Caenorhabditis elegans: one gene and its partners. The protein of the gene in region 2 interacts with the protein of the main gene of each other region in a pairwise test. Each region holds a gene or a part of one and is shown on either strand. Other genes may lie near its edges.

Evidence for each region. Proteins that work in one complex are often made in the same cells at the same time.
Region 1: the proteins of ikb-1 (region 2) and mrt-2 interact in a two-hybrid assay, tested with the Caenorhabditis elegans proteins (2 studies listed by BioGRID).
Region 3: the proteins of ikb-1 (region 2) and meg-4 interact in a two-hybrid assay, tested with the Caenorhabditis elegans proteins (2 studies listed by BioGRID).

What each region holds. Positions count from the first base shown.
Region 1 is NC_003281.10:11,743,800-11,751,876, forward strand, and holds mrt-2 (Cell cycle checkpoint protein RAD1 homolog mrt-2), read left to right. Parts: upstream 1-2,966; 5' UTR 2,967-3,163; intron 3,164-3,244; 5' UTR 3,245-3,249; coding exon 3,250-3,348; intron 3,349-3,419; coding exon 3,420-3,575; intron 3,576-3,634; coding exon 3,635-3,775; intron 3,776-3,823; coding exon 3,824-3,904; intron 3,905-5,086; coding exon 5,087-5,176; intron 5,177-5,322; coding exon 5,323-5,442; intron 5,443-6,060; coding exon 6,061-6,177; 3' UTR 6,178-6,376; downstream 6,377-8,077. Other genes in the region: gbf-1 (Golgi-specific brefeldin A-resistance guanine nucleotide exchange factor 1 homolog), read right to left, coding at 7,829-7,930. UniProt on the Caenorhabditis elegans protein: May be a component of the 9-1-1 cell-cycle checkpoint response complex that plays a major role in DNA repair. Promotes DNA double strand break-induced cell cycle arrest and apoptosis, thereby playing a role in genome stability.
Region 2 is NC_003279.8:9,682,167-9,690,094, forward strand, and holds ikb-1 (Death domain-containing protein), read left to right. Parts: upstream 1-3,231; 5' UTR 3,232-3,387; coding exon 3,388-3,459; intron 3,460-4,005; coding exon 4,006-4,129; intron 4,130-4,178; coding exon 4,179-4,261; intron 4,262-4,404; coding exon 4,405-4,652; intron 4,653-4,702; coding exon 4,703-4,785; intron 4,786-5,094; coding exon 5,095-5,228; intron 5,229-5,284; coding exon 5,285-5,554; intron 5,555-5,601; coding exon 5,602-5,947; intron 5,948-5,992; coding exon 5,993-6,426; 3' UTR 6,427-6,487; downstream 6,488-7,928. Other genes in the region: rpl-14 (Large ribosomal subunit protein eL14), read left to right, coding at 7,036-7,140, 7,487-7,681, 7,773-7,880.
Region 3 is NC_003284.9:1,680,166-1,688,120, forward strand, and holds meg-4 (J domain-containing protein), read left to right. Parts: upstream 1-2,788; 5' UTR 2,789-2,790; coding exon 2,791-2,848; intron 2,849-2,894; coding exon 2,895-4,365; intron 4,366-4,413; coding exon 4,414-4,497; intron 4,498-4,545; coding exon 4,546-4,692; intron 4,693-4,740; coding exon 4,741-4,875; intron 4,876-5,390; coding exon 5,391-5,668; intron 5,669-5,717; coding exon 5,718-6,043; 3' UTR 6,044-6,254; downstream 6,255-7,955. Other genes in the region: C36C9.11 (Transposase), read left to right, coding at 7,375-7,413, 7,465-7,517, 7,856-7,892.

The DNA.
Region 1 (8,077 bases), on a different chromosome or scaffold from region 2:
GTATTCTCTGAAGAGTAAACTGGCGGGATCTACTTTCACTAAAAGCTTTTTTCGTCCGAAATCCCAAATCCAATTACATTTACTCCTCATCCCCGCCAGCGCCACGTCACATCGCCTTAACTAAATTTTAATTTTAATTTGGAAATTTTCAAGTCTGATATCCGTGCCCCGGGTGCAAGAAAAGTACTTTTGTAGATTAATTCTGGCCACCCGGACCGGTCAAATTCAATGACGAGACTTGAGAGAGAGTGTGTGGGATTTGAGAGACGCAGAGAATAAGAACGAATGGGGGATAATTGTCCACCTCGAGAATTATTGTGTACGCGCGGAAAACTGGATATGTTTCTTTTTCAGGGGTTTTTTAAGAAGGATATTTGATGGGACAATGGAGAAAAATCGGGAAAAAGGGATTTACAACTGGAAAATTCAAATTTTGCGCGTCAAATCTGGTGCATTGAATTTTTCGCGCTCCATTGACAATCTCCTGCCGGAAAGGACATTTTCCACGTGGAGTACACGGAACGTGGCCTAGAAAACTTTTCTCGGGTTTTCACGGGGTTCTGGCCTTCCTCATTGCATTTTTTGTACTCCACGCGGACAAATGCATTTAGTTTTACAACTAAAATCGAGCCGCGACGCGACACGCAACGCGCCGTAAATCTATCCCAGATATGGCCGAGCCAAAATGGCCTAGTTCGGCAAACTCTTCCATTTCAATTTATGAGGGAAGCCAGAACTCCGTGTCTGCAGAACCTAAAGATTTTTAACTCAAAATTGTAGAAATTAGGCTAAAATTGCACTTCAAGCTGAAATTTAAAAAAGGAATGCACTAGATTTGACGCACAAACGTTAGAAAATTTGAATTTCTCGGGTAGTGCAAAGAATTGTTAAGTTGAAAAAAATGCATCAGATTTGACGCGCAAATCTTGAAATATTTGCTGACATTGAGTTTTCACAGTTTTTTTTTAAATAAATTAAAGTTTTGATTACTTTTGATTAAATTTTTCGAATATTTTGTCTGAAAGTTTCACGTGATGTCAGAGTGTCTCATTTCGGCTTGATCTACGTAGATCTACGAAAATGCGGGAGTTGAGACGCAGAGTTTTCAACTGATTTCGCATGGTTAAGAACGTGCTGACGTCACATTTTGTTGGGCAAAAAATGCCCGCGTTTTTGTAGATCAAACCGTAATGGGACAGCCTGGCACCACGTGAAATTCCAGAAAAAATGTCTGAACCTACTGTAGTTCACAATTTAAAGGCGCATACCAAAAAATTATAGCGGGAATTAAATTTTTATTTAATAATTTTTTCAGTTACAGAGCAATTAAAAAATTCAATTTCATCAAAATTTTATAGACCAATTTTCTCGCTTTATAGCTGAGCTCCGCGAGCCAAAATAGGAAGGGGAGCACGAAAAAAAAACAGAAAAATGAGCTCGACAGAGCCCATAGCCTCAAGCGCTAACGAACCAAAAAATGCACACACACACAGGAGGCGGAGTCGTGGAAATTTCGAAAAAAAAAACAAGATTTTCTTCTCTCTCGGCTCAAATTTGAATGCGGAGCAAGAATATTACGGGAACAAAAAATTCTGAGAATGCGTACTGCACAACATATTTGACGCGCAAAATATCTCGTTGCGAAAAGCAAACTACAGTGATTCTTTAAATGACATTTGTAGTGTCGATTTACGGGATCTCGATTTTCGAAATGAATTCATTTATCATTGATCGAGCCCGTAAATCGACACACGCACTACAGTAGTAATTTAAAGGGTTACTGTAGTTTTGTTTTCGCTACGAGATATTTTGTGCGTCAAATATGTTGCCCAATACGCATTCTCAGGATTTTTTGTTAGCGTAATAAAATAACAGAAAACACAGAAAAAGGCATGAAATTTAATTTGAAATACCGCGCTGAGTTTTCTAGGCCACGTGTCGTGTACTCCCCGTGGACAAGCGGTTTTTGCCTTATTTTTCTGAAGTACAAATTCTCAAGTACAAGTAAAAAAGTACAAATTTTACCAAATTTGAGGAAAAGAACTAGCATGACAAAAATAGAATTAGAAAAATTCTAGAGAAAAACTACGGATTTCTGGCTTCCCTCATAAAATGAAATGGAAGAGTTTGCCGAACTAGGCCATTTTGGCTCAGCCATATCTGGAGTAGATTTACGGCGCGTTCCGTGTCGCGGCTCGATTTTAGTTGTAAAACTAAATGAATTTGTCCGTGTGGAGTACACGACTTTACCACGCGTTGTCCGGCAGGCGATTGTCAATGGAGCGCGAAAAATTCAATGCACCAGATTTGACGCGCAAAATTTGAATTTTCAAGTTGTAAATCCCTTTTTTCTTCCCATTGTCCCATCAAATATCCTTCTTCAAAAAAACCCCTGCGTCTCTCAGGCCATATCTGCGGTAGATTTACGGCGCGTTGCGTGTCGCGTCGCGGCTCGATTTTAGTTGTCTGGCGGGCGATTATCAATGAAGCGCGAATAAATCAATGAGGAAGGCCAGAACCCCGTGAAGATCCAAGAAAAGTTTTCTAGGCCACGTTCCGTGTACTCCACGTGGAAAATGTCCTTTCCGGCAGGAGATTGTCAATGGAGCGCGAAAAATTCAATGCACCAGATTTGACCACGCGTCGTGTACTCCACGTGGAAAATGTGGACACTAGGGATCTACTAAATGCCTGGAAAATCGTAAAAATCTCGAAACTTCCTAAAGAAAAAAAAAGCAAATACACAAAAACGCATTGATGTATGAACAAATTGCCCTCCCCGTCTCCCACCAAAAACTCCCAAAAATTGCTCTTTTTTCATGTTTATATGGGGGACCGCGGGATTTCATAATAGCTCCGTGGTCCGCTCAGCTCATCCGGAGCCAAAAAGAGCACACACACACACGCACACATAAAAGTTGTAAACTAGTTTCGAGCAAAAATGATACGACGGATGAGTGTGTCACGCAATCAGTGAGCTTCTCTCGCTTTCGAAAGAAAAATCTTTTTCGCAAAAAGAAAAAGTACTTTACACTGGCCACAGTGTAAAATAAGGGTGAAAAGATCGAAAATCGGAGGTTTCAAATTTGAATTTCCGCGCAAATGAGAGGGACGAGGTGCGATGGCCTACAAAACTCCGCAGGTGTACTCCTCTCGGAAAACGGTGCGAGAATTAATTTTTTAATTTATATTTAATTTTCAGCGATTTTTCTCAGTTTTCCGGTTAAAATTTAAATTTTTTCAGGAAAAATGATGGAATTAGAAACGGGTCAATGCACAATTATGGAATTGAAAAAAGAAAATGTGAAGGAGCTCGCGCAGGTCTTCAAAACCGTCGCTTTTAAGGATGTTAGTGTTGGAAAATATCGATATTAATTTCATTTTTTTTGAGAAAAAATCTAAATTTTTCAATTTTCCAGACAGGAACGTGGCACGCTTCCGAGGCGGGCATGAAGATCACAGTCGACGATGGATCCTATCAGCTGGCCAGCGTTTTTATCAATCCGGCGTTCTTCTCGAGTTTTAAAGTTCGCGAGGAGATAGTTTCGATGAAAATCTCGATTAAATCGATTTCTGTGAGCCTTTAAAAGCCCATAAAAGCCCAAAAAAGTGGCAAAAAACAAAAAAATTCCAGGAATTCCTGAGCATTTCGGAAAACTCGTCGAGTTCTGTAAAAGTCTCGTATCCGGGAATGTTTCAGCCTGTGAAAATGCTTGTTGAAGACGCAGACGGATGGGTGGCACGTGGCAATTTTACAACAACGCTGGCAGATCAAGTTCGCCGGGTTTTCGAAATTCCTAGATTTTTTTTTGTCTATTTTTAGGAGCTCGACTTTGAATTCGATGACGCTGGTGTGCTGGCGACCTATCTGCTTAAAACTCAAGTTCTCAAGGAGATTATCAAGGTTTTATCATTGAAACCTTTAAACATTCGAAAAAAATTTATTAAACTCCAGACATTTTCCAAAAAAAATTTTTTTTTTTGGATTTTCGAAAAAAATGTTTTTTTTTTGAAATTAAATAAAAAACTTTTTTTTTTACTTTTTTAGTGAAAAAACAAAAAAAATCGGTTTCCCTTCAGAAAAATCGGTGTTTTTCGGTTTTTTTCATATTTTAAAACATTTTCTGAATTTTTTTTTTGACTTTTTGGAAAAAAATTTTTTTTTGGATTTTTTCAAAATGAAATAAAAAACTACTCGAATGTCGCAAAAACAAAAAAATTTCTTTTTGTTCTGACAGATTAACATTTTTTGGTTTTTTTCGACTCCAAAAAAAAATTTCTGAAAAAATTAGCTTTTTTGAAAAAAAAACCATTTTTTTTTAAATTTTTTAGTCGAAAAACGAAAAAAAAAATCGGTTTCCCTTCAGAAAATTATTGTTTTTGGGTTTTTTCCCACATTTTAAAACATTTTCTGAAAAAAAACTTTTTTTCGACTTTTTTGAAAAAAAATTTTTCGGTTTTTCCGATTTTCTAATTTTTCAACAAAAAAAGACGAAAAAAACCAGAAAATTCCGAATTTTAGAGCCAAAAACGAACATTTTCCGTTTTTCAATTTTGAAAAAAAAAACGTTTTATTTTTATTTTTCGATACTTTTTTGTCGAAAAACGAAAAAAAATGTTTTCCGTTCAGAAAAATCGGTGTTTTTTGGTCTGTTTTTCATATTTTAAAACATTTTCTGAAAAAAATTTTTTTTTCGAATTTTTCATTACTTTTCAAAAAAAAAATCCGTTTTTGATTGAAAAAACCTTGATATTTTTCCGATTTTCTAATTTTTCAAAATTAAAAAAAACCAAAAAAAAAATCCGAAAATTCCGACTTTTTGAGCTAAAAACGAAAATTTTCCGTTTTCAATTTTGGAAAAAAAATTTTACTTGAAAATTCGATTTTCGCTTAAAAAGTAGTTTTTATTGTTTCAATTTTTCGAAAATAAAAAAAAATCGATTAAATTGCAGAATTTCCAACCCAAACCCAAAAAAATCGACGTCCAATACTTATGATTTGACGCGCAAATTCTAAAATTCAAATAAAAATTCTTATTTTTGCATTAAAAAAATACGAATTTTTAATTTTTTTTCTCTATTTCAGGACTTCGATGACACAAGCCGAACGGTGAGAATTCAATTCACCAAGAATTCACTGTGTTTCACGACTTTCGGTGATGTTGGCGAGACTACAGTAGGATTTTTCAAATTGAAAATTAAATAAATTTTAGGAAATTAAAAAGAAAAAAATTTTAATTTTTTAACTCAAAAAAAAAAAAAAAAAATTGTTTTGAAAAAATATTTTTTAAAAAATTAAAACCAAATTTTTTATACTTTCAGGTATCAATACCGTCTCGAAGCCTTCAAATGGAAAGTGTAAAGTGCCTTGAAGAAGTTGAATTTAGCTATCTTCTGTCGCTTATTCAACGAATGACTACCGCCTTTATACTGGCTACAAAGGTAGTTTCTGGAAAGAAATTTAGCCTATCTGCTAGATTTTTCCTAGTTAAAGTTATCATGGTTCCAGGAAAAATTCATTAAAAATATGAAAAAATTGGGGGAAAAAAAAAATTTTTTTCGAAATTTTTTGAAAAAAATCTGAAAAAATTTGTGAAAATTATTTTCACTATAATTTTTAATTTAAAAAATTGAGCCGATTTTTTTAGAAAAATAAATTTATTTGTGAAAAAATTAATTTTCCTTTCGAAAAATATTTCGATTTTTGAAAATTTTTTTAAATTTGAAAAAAAAAATTTTCATTTTTTTTTCAAAAACAGAAAAAAATTTCGAAAAAAATAAATAAAATGTCTAAAGCATTTTTAACGATTTTTCCAATTTTGCAACAAAAAATATCAACATTTTTCCGTTTTTTTCCCCGAAAAAAAACCCCAAAAACTCCAAAATTGGCCAAAAAAATCGAAAAATAAATTAAAACGTTATGCTCCAAATCAAATTTTAGTTTCAAAAATCGAGAAAAAATTAGAAAAAATGTTTTTCTTCGAAATTTTTTTTTCAATTTTCTAAAAAAAAATGTCTCGAATTTTTTGATGCAAACTTTACAATTTAAGTTTTTTCCAGCTCATCCTCCGTGTCGACGAGCGTGGCGTCCTCTCCTGTCAATTTTCAATCGATCACGGCGAGGGAAACGCAAGCTACATTGAATTTCTGACGGTGCCCGCTGATGAAGAAGAATAAAATATTATATACATTTTTAATTTTTTTTTAATGTTCGATCCCCGAGTTTTGCAACAAGTGTACCCTCATCTCCCGGGTATAAAAACCCGAAAAACTGCACCGAAACGCACGCAAAAAAAATTAATATTTTCTTCTTTTTCGTGCTTCTTGCAATTCTCGCTGTTGATTTAAATTTTCAAATAAATATTGATTTTTATTACGAATATTGCATTTTGAAATGAGAAAAATTTTTAAAAATTGGGTTTTTTTTCAGTGAGTGTCTCGTCGAATAAAATGCTCGGTACGTAGTACACCGTCACGTCAAAATACACAGAATCGTGGATTTTTTTCAAAAAAAAAACAAGGATTTCTGGCTTCCCTCATAAATTGAAATGGAAGAGTTTTTGCCGAACTAAGCCATTTTGGCTCAGCCATATCTGGGGTAGATTTACGGCGCGTTGCGTGTCGCGTCGCGGCTCGATAGTAAAACTAAATGTATTTATCCGTGTGGAGTACACGACACTTTCCCATGCGTTGCCCGTCGGGCGATTGTCAATGGAGCGCAAAAAATGCAATGAGGAAGGCCAGAACCCCCTGAAAAATCGATGTGTTTTTAGGATTTCTTCAAATTCTAATTAATTTTTAGAGTTTTTTGCCGGCAATATTATGTGGAAAATGAATGCAAAACTTCTTGTAGCCCTAAAAATCCCCAAGTTTGTGTATTTTTAAAGAAAATTAAAGTCTCCTGCCGAAATTTTCAATAAATATTGATTTTTATTACGAATATTGGATTTTGCAGTGAGAAAATGGGGTTTTTTTTTTGCAAAAAGACTCCGTAATTGTTGGAAAAAAGACATATTACAGGAACACAAATTTCTGAGAATTGCGTACTACACAACATATTTGACGCGCAAAATATCTCGTAGCGAAAAGAAAACCACAGTAATTATTTAAATGATTACTGTAGGGCTTGTGCAGATTCACGGGCTCGTTATTCGGAATTAATTAAAATTATTTAGGGATCGATTAAGCAAAAAATTCCTTCGAAAATCAAGCTAGTAAATCGACGCTACAGTAGTCATTTAAAGAATTACTGTAGTTTTCGCTACGAGATATTTCGCGCGTAAAATATGTTGTGCAATACGCATTCTCAAAATTTTGTGTACCCGTAATACCTCAAATCGTTCATTTTCGCCTAATTTCTGCTTTTCTCAAAAAATTTGAATTTTCCGCTAATAGATTTCTTAGAAACTTTGAATTTTCCACCAGAATCCCGCTCTAAAATGTGGAAAAATCTTTTAAAAAACGTGGTTTTCATTACTCAAAAAAAAAAAATTTGAATCGAAAGAAAAATGAAATAAATAATAATAATAATAATAAAACTTTCTCGGGGTGGGGGTGGAGGGACTTGCACGCATAATAAATACAAGAAGCAGTAAATGGGGAAGGGGAGGAAATTTCAGGAAAAAAAAATTAAAAAAGGGGAACCATAGGACACACAAATCATTCTAACCCAAGTTATTCGACTATTTCTGTGCTGAAATTTCAAAATTTTCAGATTTTTTCGGGGGGATTTACTTATTTAATTTAAAAAAATGGATGGAGGGGGAATCGCGGAGAACATTCAATTATCACAATGCAAAAAAAAATTAGATTTTAATTTTTTTTTAAATTAAGGCTTCTCCTGTTGGCTCGGATTGTAGGGAATCGGGGTGAAATACGGAGAATCTGCTGACGTTGTTGTTGGAGCAGATGGAGCAAGAGCAGGAGCATTCTGAAAAAAAAAAATTGTTGAAAATTTTGTGTCAATTAGGCCAATTAGCTAATTTTTTAAATAAAATTGTGCAGTTTTGGGCCAAAAAATAAAATAAAGTAAATTTTGGCAAAAAAAATTGATGTTTCTTTGGAATTTCTCTCAATT
Region 2 (7,928 bases):
GCAGAGCACTTCCGACCGTTTTTACAGCATTGTTGGAAGAAAGCTGGATACGTGGGTGCTGCGAATACTTCATCAACACCATTTTTGACTCCAGCTCAATATTGCATTGATCATGGTGACACAGTGATTTGCTATCACACTGGATGTAACCATCTCGGATTCATCCGATGCGCAAGATGCAAGATGTTTGTTTGTTTTAATCATTTTGTTGTGTCAAAACAACATCTTTGTTCATCTCCTTGAATAATTAATAAATTCATGATTGCATTACATTCAAGTTTCGCTATGAATAAAATTGTTTATATGAGGGGATCCATGGTTGTAGTGGTCCATGGTTAAGTTTAAATTTTAGGGGAAAAGATGTTGAATGAATCATTATGGTGTTGGTCGACACATTGATCATGCTGATATCGATCAGAAAAATTAAAATTTGGGCTTTTATATAGTTTCGAAAAAACACGTTTAAATTTTTGAAAAACTTTACGTTAGGGTGGAATTGAACCCCAGAGTCCCACCATGCTTGTCATCCACTCTATCCACTCGGCCATCTCGCTGTTGCAAGCAGTACTAATTGGGGATGGTGATAAGTAAAGCACGTCAAAACGAATAATTTCAGACGTAAAAATTTCAGATTTCCAGCCCGAACGGGCAAAAATTTCAGTCATATTCTTATAGTAGAGAATGTCAGCTTTCCGATACAATATTTTTTTTTGAATATCGCTCCATTTATTCTGGTCATTCCCTAGTGAGACATTTCGAAACAGAACAAATTCATGAACAATTTTTAAATATAAATAATGTAACTATATCTACATTATTATTTAATATTTTTTAAATCAGTTAAAATAAGTTTGTATATTGCCTGTGAAGACCCACAACGAAAAAAAGATTTCGCAATATGGTCGTCGAGAACATTCGATTAAAAAAACTTGAATGGAGAGAAAAATGAACACGGTATTTCTTTCAAAAAGATATTGGATTGAATGTGTGGTTCTGCAGTTTTTATACTCGATCCTGCTTTAGGCGACGTTGCCTTGCTCAGTCTAACTATAAGAAAGTGTTCATAGATTTGAGAGACGGAGAAACCTTAAGCTCCGCCTCATTCTCGTCAAAAATAGTGTGAGCAATGGGCGAAAAATTGATATGATTCACACTGATAAAAATCGAAAAAAAAACCAGGAAAAATTGTTTAGGCATTGATATAGAATTCTACAGAAGAAGTGAATTCTCGATAATGAAGGATTAGAAATAAGAAAAGAATGTTTTTTGGCAAAACTCCAAAGTTTCAAAAACTTTGTCCAGTTGAAATATTGTCTCTAAATAGACCTGAAATGTGATTAAAAACGATATATTTTGTTAAAACATTCCAAAATTTTTCAGATTTTTCAAAACTTTCAGTTAAAATTTTGGTAGAATACCAAAATTCCAAATCCTTAACCTACTTCATCTGTAACATTTTTGGTGCTGGAATATACACTCGAAAAGTGATAATGAAATGGCATAGGCACAAAAAATAGTAAAAAAAGGGACAACAATTGTACACAAAGATTTGGTGGAAAGAGGGTGAGACGAGGATTTGAGGCGACGACCCCCTCGTACCTATTAATTATATTTCAGGAGAACTAACGGAACGAGAGCGATCCTAAGTCAATGCTTGAGGGACGACAGCTTCTTCTCCTTTTTATATTTTACCCAAACTTTCCTGGCTTAAATTAAATCAAACTCGGGCAAGACTTGGTTAAAGATCATTCTTTCCCTTATCTAATTTTTGGTGACATTTAAACCTCTCAATTTTACCGTATTTCCTCTATTAGTATGGCACCGGCTACTTAACTTTGAAACGTTATATCTCGATTCATTTCAAAGATATCAATATTTTATAAACTACGAAATAATAGAAAAAGAACTAAAAAATATATTGTTAGATGACAAATTTTGAATAGTACAAACGATTACTGAGATAGTATAAGCTGTCAAAGTTGAACAATTGGGTGCAATACTAATGAGGAAAAACGGTAAGTTATTTTGTTGTTTTGTTGATATAGTTTTGCCAATATCAAGTCTTTTATATTTTTATAGTGGTTCCACAGGGAATACATTTAAAAAATCGATGAAAAATGAAAAAAGTAACAGTAAACCGTCACCTTACCAAAACATTGTTCACTTTATCAGTGCACACTGTCTTGGCGTTATTATTTGCCGTTCAATTAACTCTGAGTCATAGTTGACTATAAATCGAAAATTAGTCTTGCAAATACTGCAAATTATTTCTGAAAAAAAAACTCGACTTTCCAACTAGCGATATGTTTGCAAATGCAAAAGATACTTAGAAAGAAACACTCGGATTATTTCAAACTTTTATTGTTTTATTTCAGAAATCTGTGCTTTATTTACAGTGTGTGATGAAACACTTCTAAATAACGTAGAGTAAAAAAAAACACTTCAAAGCGGTTTTAATGTTTTATCTGCAGACTATTTTAATTGTAACAATAATTGAGCTTTTTTGCGAATTTTTTCGTCCCAAAAAAAAAGAAAAAAAAAGGGTCCAGAAAAAACAAACAAACATGAGTTCAACTCTCCACCACGGGAAAATTTTTTGCGAATTTTTTCGTTCCAAAAAAAAGGAAAAAAAATTCATCAATGAAAAGTAGGCAGTTCAGAAACCGAAAAGCTTAACATTTTTGCCACAATTGATCCCATGCTGATTGGACAACGGTTTTTTAAATCAGAACTTTTGCAGATCTCTCGATTTGATAGAAACATATTAATAGTTCTATCAAAAACAACGTCCTTATTAAAATTTTTTTAAATATTTAAATACAGTTGTCTTAACTTTCAATTGGGTATTTGTTTACTTTGATTCCGAAGTGTCCATTGCATCATCTTTAAAAAAAAAAATTATATCTCCTCTTAAGGTGACACCACTGTTAGATCTCTTGGAGAACTCTGATCAGCTCCAAATATGACCTCATATTATTAGGTTGGCATAGTTGTTTATCGAGTTATCTAACAAATGTTTTTGACACAGTATCTAGATTGTCTGATATTTACGTGTAAGCTCGTGGTCAATATCACATTCTAGTTCATTTCGAACACATCATCATTTTCTGTGCTTCTCTATTTCTCTCCAAATCCGCTGATATTTTCATTCATCCCCATCAGATTGTCATAAGATTGTCCTCGCGCTCTTTTCCGATCGACCAAGTGCTTGAACCCAAAGATCGTGCGAATAGTGTAAAAGTTGAAGAGACATAGGCATTTGCCGAGTTTACACACAGTCGAGCAGGCGGTGGTCGTTGGAGAGAAGCTTTCTCGCGGGATACCCTCATTCTAATATCCTCTCGTTCGTTTCATTTTGATTATTGGTTTTTTAATCATTTTCTAATAATGTCTAAAGCTGATGAAAATGATGCTAATCTCACAGAAAATGGAGTTCACAAATCGAGATCAGACTCAGAGGTTTGTAGTAGTACTACTAGTACTGTAGTTAAAAAATATATTAGCTTCAATGAGGATTTTGACTGAATTATATGAATCAATATATTCAATATAATAATCAATATAATTCCAAAATAACCAAATATCATAATAAAGAACTCTAAAAATTCCCAGTCAAAAATTTGGTAAATTTCCAAATTTGCCAACCATTTGGACTTTGTGAGAAATCTAAAGCAAAGTTACGTATCTGAACCTTTAAAATGGTTAAATACAAATATTTGAAACATAATTATAAAGTAAATATAAAATTGGTAGAAAAAAAACGTTTTTTTTTGGTACAATTACAAAATTGAGAATGGCGAAAACTGTGTGATCGCCAGTTTTTTGGTGGAAAATATCAAAAATTTTCAGAACAGATATATACTTATATTTGGTCATTTTAACTCTATAAAATTAGTTTTTAAAATTTTTACCCTGATGGCATATGAGCCAAATAAGAAAATAATCAAGCACTTTCTAGAAGCGAGCAATTATGAATATAAAAAAGTATATCAAATTATTGTCTAGATAAATTCCCATACATCATCAATTCATAAATCCTCAAGTCAACATCGCCGGTTATTCATTGATGATATTTCAACTATTGAAGCATCTGCTGGTGATCGCGTCTGGGCAACATGTTCTGGTGCTGGTTAGTTTAAGTTACAGTCGGATGAAGAAAATCTTTCTTTTTAATACAGGAGACGCCACTGAACTCATCACAATTCACTTTCTAGGCGATCAATTTGAAGAGAGTGCAATTGATGTTGTTAGGAAACATTCGGTAAGGACCGTTTCGTAAAAGGGAAAACTGAAAAAATAATATAATTTCAATAAATGATAAAATTCGCATTGAAATTGTACCCATTCTCCGTAATCTGTAACAAAATCTGTGTAAAAACTTATATAATTAATGATGTTTTACAGCTTGTAATGTTCACAGTCCCTTCTCTGAAAGTAGACTCAGAATTGGAAGTGGAGCTCAGATTTTCAACTTCAAATGATAATGTGACAACGATTTCTTTCAAATACTTGCCACGAAAAATCCAACGTTCGCATACTCAGGAAATATCGCTTTTTGACAATTTACTTGAATTTGCCACCAACGGAGACACAATTTCATTACTTCAGCCTTTTGTAGCACAAATTTCAAAACAAGATATTGAAGGAAATACGTAAGATTTCAAGTTTTCCTCTCCTTTACAACATTCATAATTTATTCCAGAGTATTCCATGTGGCAGCGAAGAATGGGCAGAGCTTCTCATTAAAGCTTCTACTTTCAGTGATTCCACCCGATATTAAAAATGGTAAGATGTTTTGAGACGAAGCTATTTAAAGCACCTGTGATTGAATTGGCATAAAAACTTCAGTATTTATATCACCAAGACGCGAAATTTCGCATTTTTTCGCGCAGAAAATACGACACGACAATTTTTTGTAAATTTTCATAGTTTGTTTTGAAGGTTATATTTAACAAATTCTGCAAAGACAGAAGTTTGATATTACAGTAGTTTTCTTAAAGGTGCACACCTTTTCTCATTTAGCAAAAATTTGTCGTGTCGAGACCGGAGATCTTATTTTTGGCGCAATATTTTGCATATGGGTAATATTTTCAGAAGTGATAAATGTACAAAACACACATGGTCTTACTGCACTACATGTAGCTATAAGGACTGGAGATCCCGATGCTGTTCATTATCTCATGAATCATGGAGCCAAAATTGACATATCAGATAATCATGGGAGCACAGTAAGTATATAACAGACAAAATGTTCGCTTTGTGTAGATTATTCAATACTTCTCAGGCTCTACATTATCTTGGAGATGCATACAATGAATCAATTTTCAAAGAAATATTAGAACCATCTAGAGGTCAACGGTTTGATGTGAATCAGCTGAATTCGGAGGGATTTGCACCGATTCACGTGGCAGTAAGAAGGTTGAAGCTGTCGTTGATTGAGATGCTCATTGAAGCGGGAGCATTGATTGATTTTTTGGATACTGAAAAGAAAAGAAATGCGTTGATGCACGCAATTGAAATGAATGATTTTGAGACTATTCAGCTTTTGGTTGAGGTAACTGTACATAGAAAAACATTGTTTTAAATTTAATATTTTTTCAGAGAGGATCAGGAACAAATATAGAAGATGAATCTGGAGAGACTGCATTGAGCTTGGCTGTAAAAAACGTTAACTATCCAGTGATTGGCCTTCTTTTAGATAATGGAGCTGATCCGAATAGACAAAATTCTAAAGGAATATGCTTGGCAGATAGTGAAGATAGTGTTATTCAAAACATTATAAATGGAGATAGACCCGAACTACCCAAGAAAGAAGCTTTTGGTGTTCCTAATGATTTAGCTATTTCTAGATCTCCCTTATTTGGGAGATCTCATCCAGATCAGGCTCCAGGTGAAGAGAGTGGGCGGCACAGAGTTGTGAAGAGATCTAGAGAAGAAATATTAAATGGTATGTTTTCTGAAAGATTTTTTGAAATTAGATCCGTTTTTGTAGACGCTCAAACTCTTCTCGCTGAAACTGACTCCATGGCTCCACGTGTTTCGAGAATATCCACATCTGAATCTGAAGATGAGCAACAGCCGGGACCCTCAACATCGTCGGGAACACGAAGGCGTCGAAGTGAATGGGATCGGAATCCGAAGCTTAGTGATTCGGTCTGCAATTTAGATTATTTGACCCGAATTCGCGTTGCAAAAATATTTGATGATCAGTGCAAATGGCAAAGATTGGCACAACAACTCAATTGTGATCACATGGTGGAACTTATTTCTATTTGCTCATCGGGAGACGATTCAAGCCCGACTATGATTCTTTTGGACCAATTTGAACAACTTGAAGACTCATCAATTTCCCGATTGCGCGATGCTATGAATCAAATGGCAGAAGATGATGCAGTTAAATTAATTGATTCCCGTTATGTTTACTGAATATCGCAGAATTGTTTTTATTTATTTTGTTTTCAGTAATAAAACTTTACCATGCATCCTGTATTAATTTACAAAATGCAATTTATATCGAAAAACTGGACTAAGTTGCTTTTTCCTAAAATATGAACACGACTTTTTTGAAAATTCACCGGTTTAATGAAATTCATACAGGTTCAGTACAAATACATACATTAATCACTGAAATTACATAAGAGCAAACAATTGAGCAAAGTTCCCCTTCCTACAATGAAAAAGATGAGATAAACTGCGCCGCAGTTGCGTTGGGTGCGCCGCATACTTGCACGTGTCCCGCCCCATGTGGGTCTCGCCACGAAATTGTCACCGTAGCCTATGGCTGTCTTACTCATTTTGCGATTTTTTTCCCAAATTTTCTTCTTTTTCAGCAAATTTTTGATATTTTTCGGTTGTTTCTGTGATAAAAACGATATAAGAAAAATTCAGAACCAGTTTGTCTATCGATTAATACTAAAATCATAAGTTTTTGCTCAAAATATATCGTTTTAGCTGGTGAAGTCAATTTTTTCGGTGTTTCTTCACTTCTCAATGTACGCGTTATAATTTTGATTTATTATTTAATTTTCAGTAAACATGGTCTTCAACCGTGTCGTTCAAATTGGGCGCGTCGTCTTCATCGCCTCCGGCAAAGACCAAGGCAAGCTTGCTGCCATCGTCAACGTTATCGACGGAAACAGAGTAAGTCATTTATTAATTAAGAAAAAAAAATGTATAGCAGATTTATTGAATTTTACTTAAACTTTTTAAAACGTTTAGATTATCAATGCGATCAGAAATGTTTGTAAAATGCAAAAATCGGAAAGCATAGCTCTGAATCATTAAATAGTGAAATCATCACTGAAATATGCTCGTTAAAGTGATTTACTGAACAATTAGTAATTAGATTGTTAATTTATGATTAATCACAACTTCCCTTTTGAAATTGTTTCGAATATAATCGATATAAATTTAGCTGAGCGTTTGTTTTAAGCAAACACGTAGCCCCAAGAAAACATAAATACAGGCTTCTAATTGTTATTTTCAGGTTCAAATCGATGGACCATCCTCCGATGTCACTCGCACCGTCAGAAACTTGAAGGATCTTCAGCTCACCAAGTTCGTCCTCAAGCTCCGTGTTGGACAACGCACCAAGGGAGTTAAGGCAGCTTTCGATGCCGCCAAGGTCACCGAGAACTTCCAGAAGACTCAATGGGCCAAGAAGATCGCTCAAAGAGCTATCGTAAGTCACTATTTCCGATATTTTTAAAGTTAGCTTGGTTTTTGTATTAAAATTAGCATTTTCGGCTCACTTTAACCATTTTTACTTGCAGAGAGCCAAGCTCACCGACTTCGAGAGATACAAGCTCATGAAGGCCAAGCAGATGAGAAACAGAATCGTCCGAGTGGAGCTCGCCAAACTGAAGAAGGCCCAAAAGTAAAACGTTGTTTTGTTTTTAATGAAATGTTGTTTAAAAAATTGTTCGAAA
Region 3 (7,955 bases), on a different chromosome or scaffold from region 2:
CACTTGCATTATTTTTATTAATTTATTATATTGTTTCTCATTATTTCACTGATTTTCTTCATTCTTTGTGTATTTTTATCGGAAAAAGAGAGAAAAATTCAAGATAAATGCAAATTATTTATTTAAAAATCACTGAAAATGGGTAAAACTGTAAAATTATGAGTTCCGACGATAGCAAGCCTGAAATTAGCTTATTTCACAGTTTCACCCATTCTCAGTTATTTTTAAATAAATAATTTGCATTTATCTTCTCTCTTGTTTTCCGATAAAAATACACAAAGAATGAAGAAAATCAGTGTAATAATGAGAAAAAATAAAATAAATTAATAAAAATAATGCAAGTGCGCTCCAGCGAACGAATTCATTCGGCGGAAATTCGAATAGGAATTAGAGGAAAACTGAGATTTTTGCAATTTTCAAAAAATCATATGAAATCTAGAAAATTTTTTATCATGATATTCGGTCATTGTGGTAACATAGGCGTGTTTTAAAACAATTTCCCCATTTCGAATTTGAACTCATTATAAATACTTGCTTGGCAGTTTGGGAATTTTGGTTACAACGCATATAGAGACTTTGGAAAAGTCTCAATATTTTATAAGAAAAGCCACTCTAGAGAGATCAATTGAAAATAAAAAATAAAAAAGATCCTTTGTATGCTGCTTGCAGCTTCTCCGGCGATCGATTTCATATAATTCATTAGTGACTAGGGGTGGCAAGAGTGCGACCTAGGTCGCTAGGTCGCTGTTTTCATTTAGGTCGCATTGCGACCTGCGACCTAGCGACCTGCGACCTAGCGATCTGGGTTGCATTGCGACCTGCGACCTAGCGACCTGGGTCGCATTGCGACCTGCGACCTAGCGACCTAGGTCGCATTGCGACCTGAATTACCGACATTTTGTTCTCTTTCGGTTTTGATTCACTTGAGTTGTTAAAATCCGTATAACTCGAAAACTGCATTGCGACCTGAATTACCGACAATTTTTATACTAACAAATTGCTACAAATCATTTATTTTACATTGTTTTCGATTTCTCATCCATAAGACACCTTGTCGAAAAAAGTTAGAACAGCCGACATCCGCCGGATTTGCTGCTTTTTTCTACGTTTTTAATTCGAAAAGTGGAAAATGAAATTTTAGAAACAACAAAAACCACAAAAACGTGAACTTTTTGAAAAAATTTGCTGAAATGCATGGTTTTATTTGTAGAAATGAATTCTTTGTTCCGTACTTTTGAAAAAAAACTACGCATAAACTTATAAAATCTTAATAGAGAAAATGTTAGTGGAATATATCATACATATTCTGCAATCTTTAGTTTTCGAGTTATACGGATTTTAACAACTCAAGTGAATCAAAACCGAAAGAGAACAAAATGTCGGTAATTCAGGTCGCGATGCGACCTAGGTCGCTAGGTCGCAGGTCGCAAAGCGACCCAGGTCGCTAGGTCGCAGGTCGCAAAGCGACCCAGGTCGCTAGGTCGCAGGTCGCAATGCGACCTAGGTCGCGATGCGACCTAACCCTCTAGGTCGCAGGTCGACCTAGGTCGACCTATAGCCACCCCTATTAGTGACTCATGCTTCCGGGGGGTGCATGGCTCAGTGCCTATGCGCGCTGCTTGCAATCACAAGGTCACAAGTTCGACCCCCACCTCCTAGGTCCTTCCAGCCTTAAATGGGAATTCAGTGTTCGTTCCACTGTCTTACAGCTTACATACGGCATTTATCCAGGCAAGACCTGTAGAAAAAAACCAAAAAAAAAAAAAAAAAAAAATTTTGCCACGTGGGGCAACCTGGCAGTATTTAATGATTTCATTTTGGTATTGAAACATGAGACAGTCTAGAAAATTAATTGGCAGAAGTTATCGACCACAGTCCTCAAGATTTTCATTTGATCCCACGTGGCAAACTGTTTGAGTTTTCTTCATTTTTTCTTTGTGTCATAATTTGAAATTTTACTTGCCACATTTTCAGACATTTTTCCGTAAAGAAAATTGGCTGCTCACTTGGAAACGCTGAAATTAGTCTAAAAATCGATAATTCAGTATTAATTTTAACTTACTTTACTGAAACATTACTGAAAAATGTATGAAACTGTGAAAAATTAAAGTTTTAAGTTTTAAATCAAAGAAAATATTAAGAAAAATGTCAAAGATCAGGTCAATAATTTGCGCTGGAATTGAAAAATAATTCGGCCCTTTTTTTTTGCAAAATTGAAAAAAATCATAAAATTTCAAAGAAAATGTTCGGAATTTTTTTACAGTTTTATTCGATATTTACATTGAAACTCTATTTTGTCATTAAGGTACAAAAAACCCACAAACGCTACTCCACCTTTAAACTAACAAGTACACGGAACCAAAGATTTTTCCTTATTTTTCTTCTTCTCGTGTTTTATTCAGTGATTATCTTTCCGGTCACCAATATTCCAGAGAATTAACTATCAATATCCGACTTTTTACTCAACTGTTCCTCAAACCTCCAATACTCTTGAAAAACAGCCGGTACCATACAAACGTTTTGTGTTGTTTTGGTAATACCCCTGCCGCATTTTAACTGTGTTTTTGCCGCGCGCATGCATTCCCCTGACCGTTTCCCCACACACTATTTCGCGCTCTCTTTCTCTACCTCTCTCACTCTCTCACTTCTCGCACTCACTCACTCACAGGTCTCCATTCTTGCTTTTTGGTCCCACCGGTTTTCATTAATTCCTCTCTCCCTCATTATTTTCTTTACATTTTTACATTTTTACATTTTGTAATATTTCATTAAGTTTTTTTTGTTGCAGGTATGAGTTCTTCAAAGCTTTCCTCATGTGATCTGCCAAACTCCAGAGGAAACAGAGAAGGTAAGCATTTTTTAAATCAATTTTTTTCTTCAATTTGTAATTTCAGGTCACCGCTCTCATAGTCGAAGCAATTTGGAAAGTGCATCGAAAAATATGGGACACCACATTAGTATTGAAGAATTGTTTTATTCGTTCGTAAAGCAAGACGGTGTTCAGTCAACAAGCCGTGGATATGGTGGCAGATCTCACCACGGATCCGTGTCTTTTAACGGGAATCCTTCCATGAACGGCGACCAGTTGAATCACTCGATTAATCAATCGATGAATGCAGCTCGAGCTAACAGAAACGTCTTCAACTCATCGAGCATTCCTCCAACGGCCCCCGTGTTCTCTGCAGACTTCCGTCAAAACTCGCAGACACGCAATAACTCCAGCTGGAATCAACGGAACTTGTCAGTTTCCACTTATCAGTACAACACTCAGCAGTCAAATACAGGGCACAGTAGAAGCCGTCCGAATGGACAACTTGGCCGAAGCTTCTCGGATGGATCGAACAATCATGGCCATGCTGGGAATGTGTCATTCAGTGGGAGTTCCGTTCCAGCTGGGTTCCAGAAACAAGAAACCAAGGCTTACCAACAACTTCATGGAAATAAAAGCTTCAACGCTCAAGCTGGAGTTCAAGCTCCTGGAGATCACAAGGACAAGAGATATGGAGGCATGTTTGGAAATGAGCTTATCAATTCGATCAATTCTAGTTTTGGCCAACAGCATGATGTCTTCAAGCCGCGGAATTTGAACCAGAGCTTTTCCGGATTTACTATTAATGAAGCTTTAACAAGGAAGCATCATCAAGAAGGATCAAGAAACGATAGAAGAAGATCACATGGGAGCACTAATGTCCAGGATCGTGCTTTCTACAACACAGATGACAATGAACTGTCTGACGACGTGTTCATAGAAGATTCCAATGGTGTTGCAAACGGTCCAAAATCTGTCACTAACAAATCTCAACAACAGTCTCGCGGAACGAAGGATGCTGGCAGTCAAGTGGCGGAGAAACTGAACTCTTCCAGAGGAGCTGCTCAACGTAATCTGAAATCCAATGTGTTCAGCAAGGACGGCACCGAACTTTCTGTGGAACAGTTACTGGAAATTGTCAGCATGAAGATCGGACAACACTTGCACTCAGCTTCCAGTTCTCACGGAGAATGCAGCAATTTGAATCGGACATTACCAGCTAGAAGTGATCTAAATTGCTCAATTGGTGAAGACTTCGACTCCAGTTTTCTGGATGTAAACAATCGAACCCTGCCAGAAAATCTTTCGAAGAAAACTTCAGTGCAGAAACATCGTCGTGGAAGTTCTCGTAGTGCGTCCCGTCTCGCCAGTCTTGACGTGACGCTGGAGACTGTAGAAGAAGATGTCGAACCCACACCAAGTCCACATCCGAGTTCTCCTCCAAAGATCTCAAGAAGAAAGTGGACAGGAACTTTTGATGCCAACGTTGAGGAAATGAGACGTTTACTTCATGGGGACCCTGGGAAGCCGAAATCTACAAAACGTGCTTTCTCAAGGTATGTAGTGATAAAAAGTGAAGTATTTAGTAAAAGTTTGAATTTCAGCAAGGATCAGAGAACACCTTCCTTGTCAATCATCACAAGCCCGAAGGCTTTGATCGGAGAAAAATGTCTGACAGCATCCAACAAGTTAGTTTTACACTTGGAGCTGCTTTTTTCATTATGTTTGTATTGCAGGTCTTCAAAGATTGACAAGTCACTTGGCATGATTGATTCGAAACTCACAAAGTCACCAATGTACTCCGCCACGGTTTCTGGGAAGGAAGCAACTTCAGGAAACCGAATCGCTCGAAAGTTGACTCCAGGGCTTGATGGACTGAAAAGGTATGGAACTACAAAGAACAAACAACATTTTTAAATGTTCTTTTCCAGCTCTCATTGTACCGGAAATCCAGTTTCCATAGATTGTAATGGTTGCCCAACTCCGAAAAGAAGTGGAATCAATTGTGATAATCGTATGGCTGAAGTGAACAACCAAGCCGGGAGATGGTCCTCTGAAGCCACCAGGTAAGGCCCAAATCAATAAATTCGCAATGAGTTTCGTATTATATAAATTTCTGAATTCTCAAAAAATCGTGGATCAAACATATGGAAAATAATGTGCAAGTTGAGTAGATTGAGGTCAAGACTAGACCTCTCGAGTAAAAAAATAGAGCATTAATCTTGCACAACTCCGCAAAAAGCCCTCTGCTTTTGTCTATTGCCCAGAAGGTGTGCGGCAAATTTGTACGGTTTTGCCGAAACAACTTTGCCGAATTAGCCTAATTTGCCGTTTGCCGAGCTCAGACAATTTTGATCAAAGCTATGGATTTTGTCGCCAAAAATTTAGTAGTGCTCGGCAACTTTTGAGATTTTCCACACATCCCTGGAGCCCAGTCTAATCACTTGATATTATAATTACTAAACGGTGAATTGCGAGCCCGCTAATAAATTTAATTTCCTCAGAATATATAAATTTTTGCCGCACAGCTTGATTCGATTTCTGTAACATACTTTCCAAGTACAATTAATTTTTTTTTCAGTCAGCCTGCCCCACTCCCTTGCAAGTCAGCCAACCCGACCGAAGATTCTTCTCAAGATGCACCTCCAACTTCACCACCACCTCGTATTTCTGATAGCTTGACGGCATTCCTGGAAGCTCAACAAGACTTCAATGATTATATTGATGCTCACTACAAAGAGAAGACACAACTCTTGAAAGTGAATTTGAATATTCACGGGATGTCACCTGAAAGATGGCTGTACTTGAATTATTTTTGCACCGAGACAATTCCAAGATTGGATGGTCCTTATGCCGATGGTAAGAAAGATAAGACATATTTAATCTTGAAAAACGTAAATTTTTTCAGATCCAAGGGTTCCACCTGTGCGAAATATATTCAGAAGATGGTTTCTCCGGTTTGCTGAAGCCTGCTTAGGAAATCCAAATGACCTTGCAGTTCAGAAAGATATTGCTCTCGAGTTCGTTCAGGCTCGGCTTGACGATACGAGCAGCTCCACAGATTCCACCAATATGCTCTACATGTTGTGGAAGGAGTGTATCGGACAGAAGAATATCATCTCAATTGCTGATGCGTGTCTCCTTGTATATCTTCGGAAATCGGATCCTGTCAGATACTTGAATGCAAAACGAGAATGGCTGGAATCTATTTTTGACCCACCCAGAGATCAATGATTGTACTGATATATATCTATTTCATGTCGAGTATTTTGTATTTTATTCTTGTTCATTGACCTTTTAACCACTCTTTTTATACTCCAACTTGCTCCTTCTTGTGAATTTATTTATGGTCTGCCCAGGAACTTGTAACGGGTAGTTTTCTATTGTTATCAGGACTGCTGCTCATTCAAAATTCAAAGTTGAATTTCAATAAAGCGAATGTTTGAAATAGGTATATAATTGGCAACTGATTAGTAGAAATATGTCTCTTCTTTGGCTTTTTGTAAAAGTTAGGCAAAAAAGTGGTCACGGATTCAATTTCAAAAGCGATGCTTCAGACTTATCCGCTACGATAGCGAAGGTTCCGTTTGTACTGAAAAACACAGTAGAGGAAATTGGTATAGGCGCGTATAAATAGAATTCTAGTAGTTGACTCTGAAATATAAAAAGTTATTAACAATCCAAATTGGCAATTACTGATTATAAGGATAGGAATGTTAAGTTTTCTTAATACTACTAGATACTACCCTCTACATTTTTATTGATAGGCATGCCTACTTGCCTGCCTAACTTCATTTGAAGGTCTTCTCTTTGAACGTCCACTTGCGCCATTTCCCGCCTTAAACTTGTTGTGTTTTCCTTGGATGGCTATTTGACTAGCGATTTCAGCTTTCAAGAATGAAAACAATGTTAAGTGCTGGCCTTAGATATCCAGTGTTTCCTGTGAAATTTCATTTCAGTGGCAGCATGCCAGACCAAATCCAAAAAAACCAAAGGGGAAATTGTTAAAAACTACTCCTATGATCCCAAAATGACAAATTATCATAGTCAAAATTTTCTAGAATATCGCTTACATCCGAAGCCTAAGCCTACGCCAAGGCCTAAGCCAAATCATAGGCCTACGCATAGGCCTAAGCCTAAGCCTGATGAAATAAAACAGTATAGTTTCATTTAAATGAAACACCAGAACCATCAAAAACACTTGATTTTTTTTCAAATTTTTTTTAAACTAAAATATTTTTAAAGTTCGAAGGAAAACTGTTTAGCATCTTTTTCTTTTTGTGTGTCACTCTACATTAATATAAAATTTTATTGCAGTCCGCTACACACTTTTTCATTGTTTTTGTTTCTCTGCTCCTCTACTTTCTTATCAAAATTTTTTCCCGGAGGTATCATTTGGTCTTCCTGCGGCGGCTTGTGTGGCTGGCACCACCATTTTTTTCTGGATTAAAACAAATTAAAAAAATTTATGTATTGTATGTGTGGTGAGTTTTAAAGTTATATTAGTTTCAAGAAGCTAATTTTCATTACTTTCAGAAATTTAATTTCTGCTATCCGCACCCCGAATGTCTACAAAAAATCTTCTGACTCAAGATGGTAAATTGGTGAGTTTTTGTATCAAAAAAGTTTCGAAAACCTTCAGAAATTAATTTCAGAGTAAGAATCGGCAAGTCGAGGAGAAAAATATCTTTAATGCAAATCCCACATTGTAAGTGCTTTTCTCGAAAATCTATAATAACATGGAATAAGGTTATGGAATAATGTATACATTAGATACATAGTAGCGTCCTATAAAAATACCAAACTGCCAAAAAATATTAAAAATTTTGAAACTTCGGTCTAATTAAAAGATATCAAGCAGATAAACGCTTAAGATTAGCCCAAAACTGAAACATTTCAATTTTGAACAATCGTTAGCTAATTAAAAACTACAAGCATTAAACCGACTCCAAAATACCATTAAAAAAGCTCACGAGAATTGCGCCAGTAGCCTTCTTGGATCATTTCCAAGTAGGAGCCTATGTCATAATAATACTATATTTTCAGAGTGAATAAAATTGTCTGCGACCTCGAATCATTCTGAGACTTTTGCGAAGTCAACAAGGACATGAACATTTATGATAATTTCGACGGAATGGCATTTGAC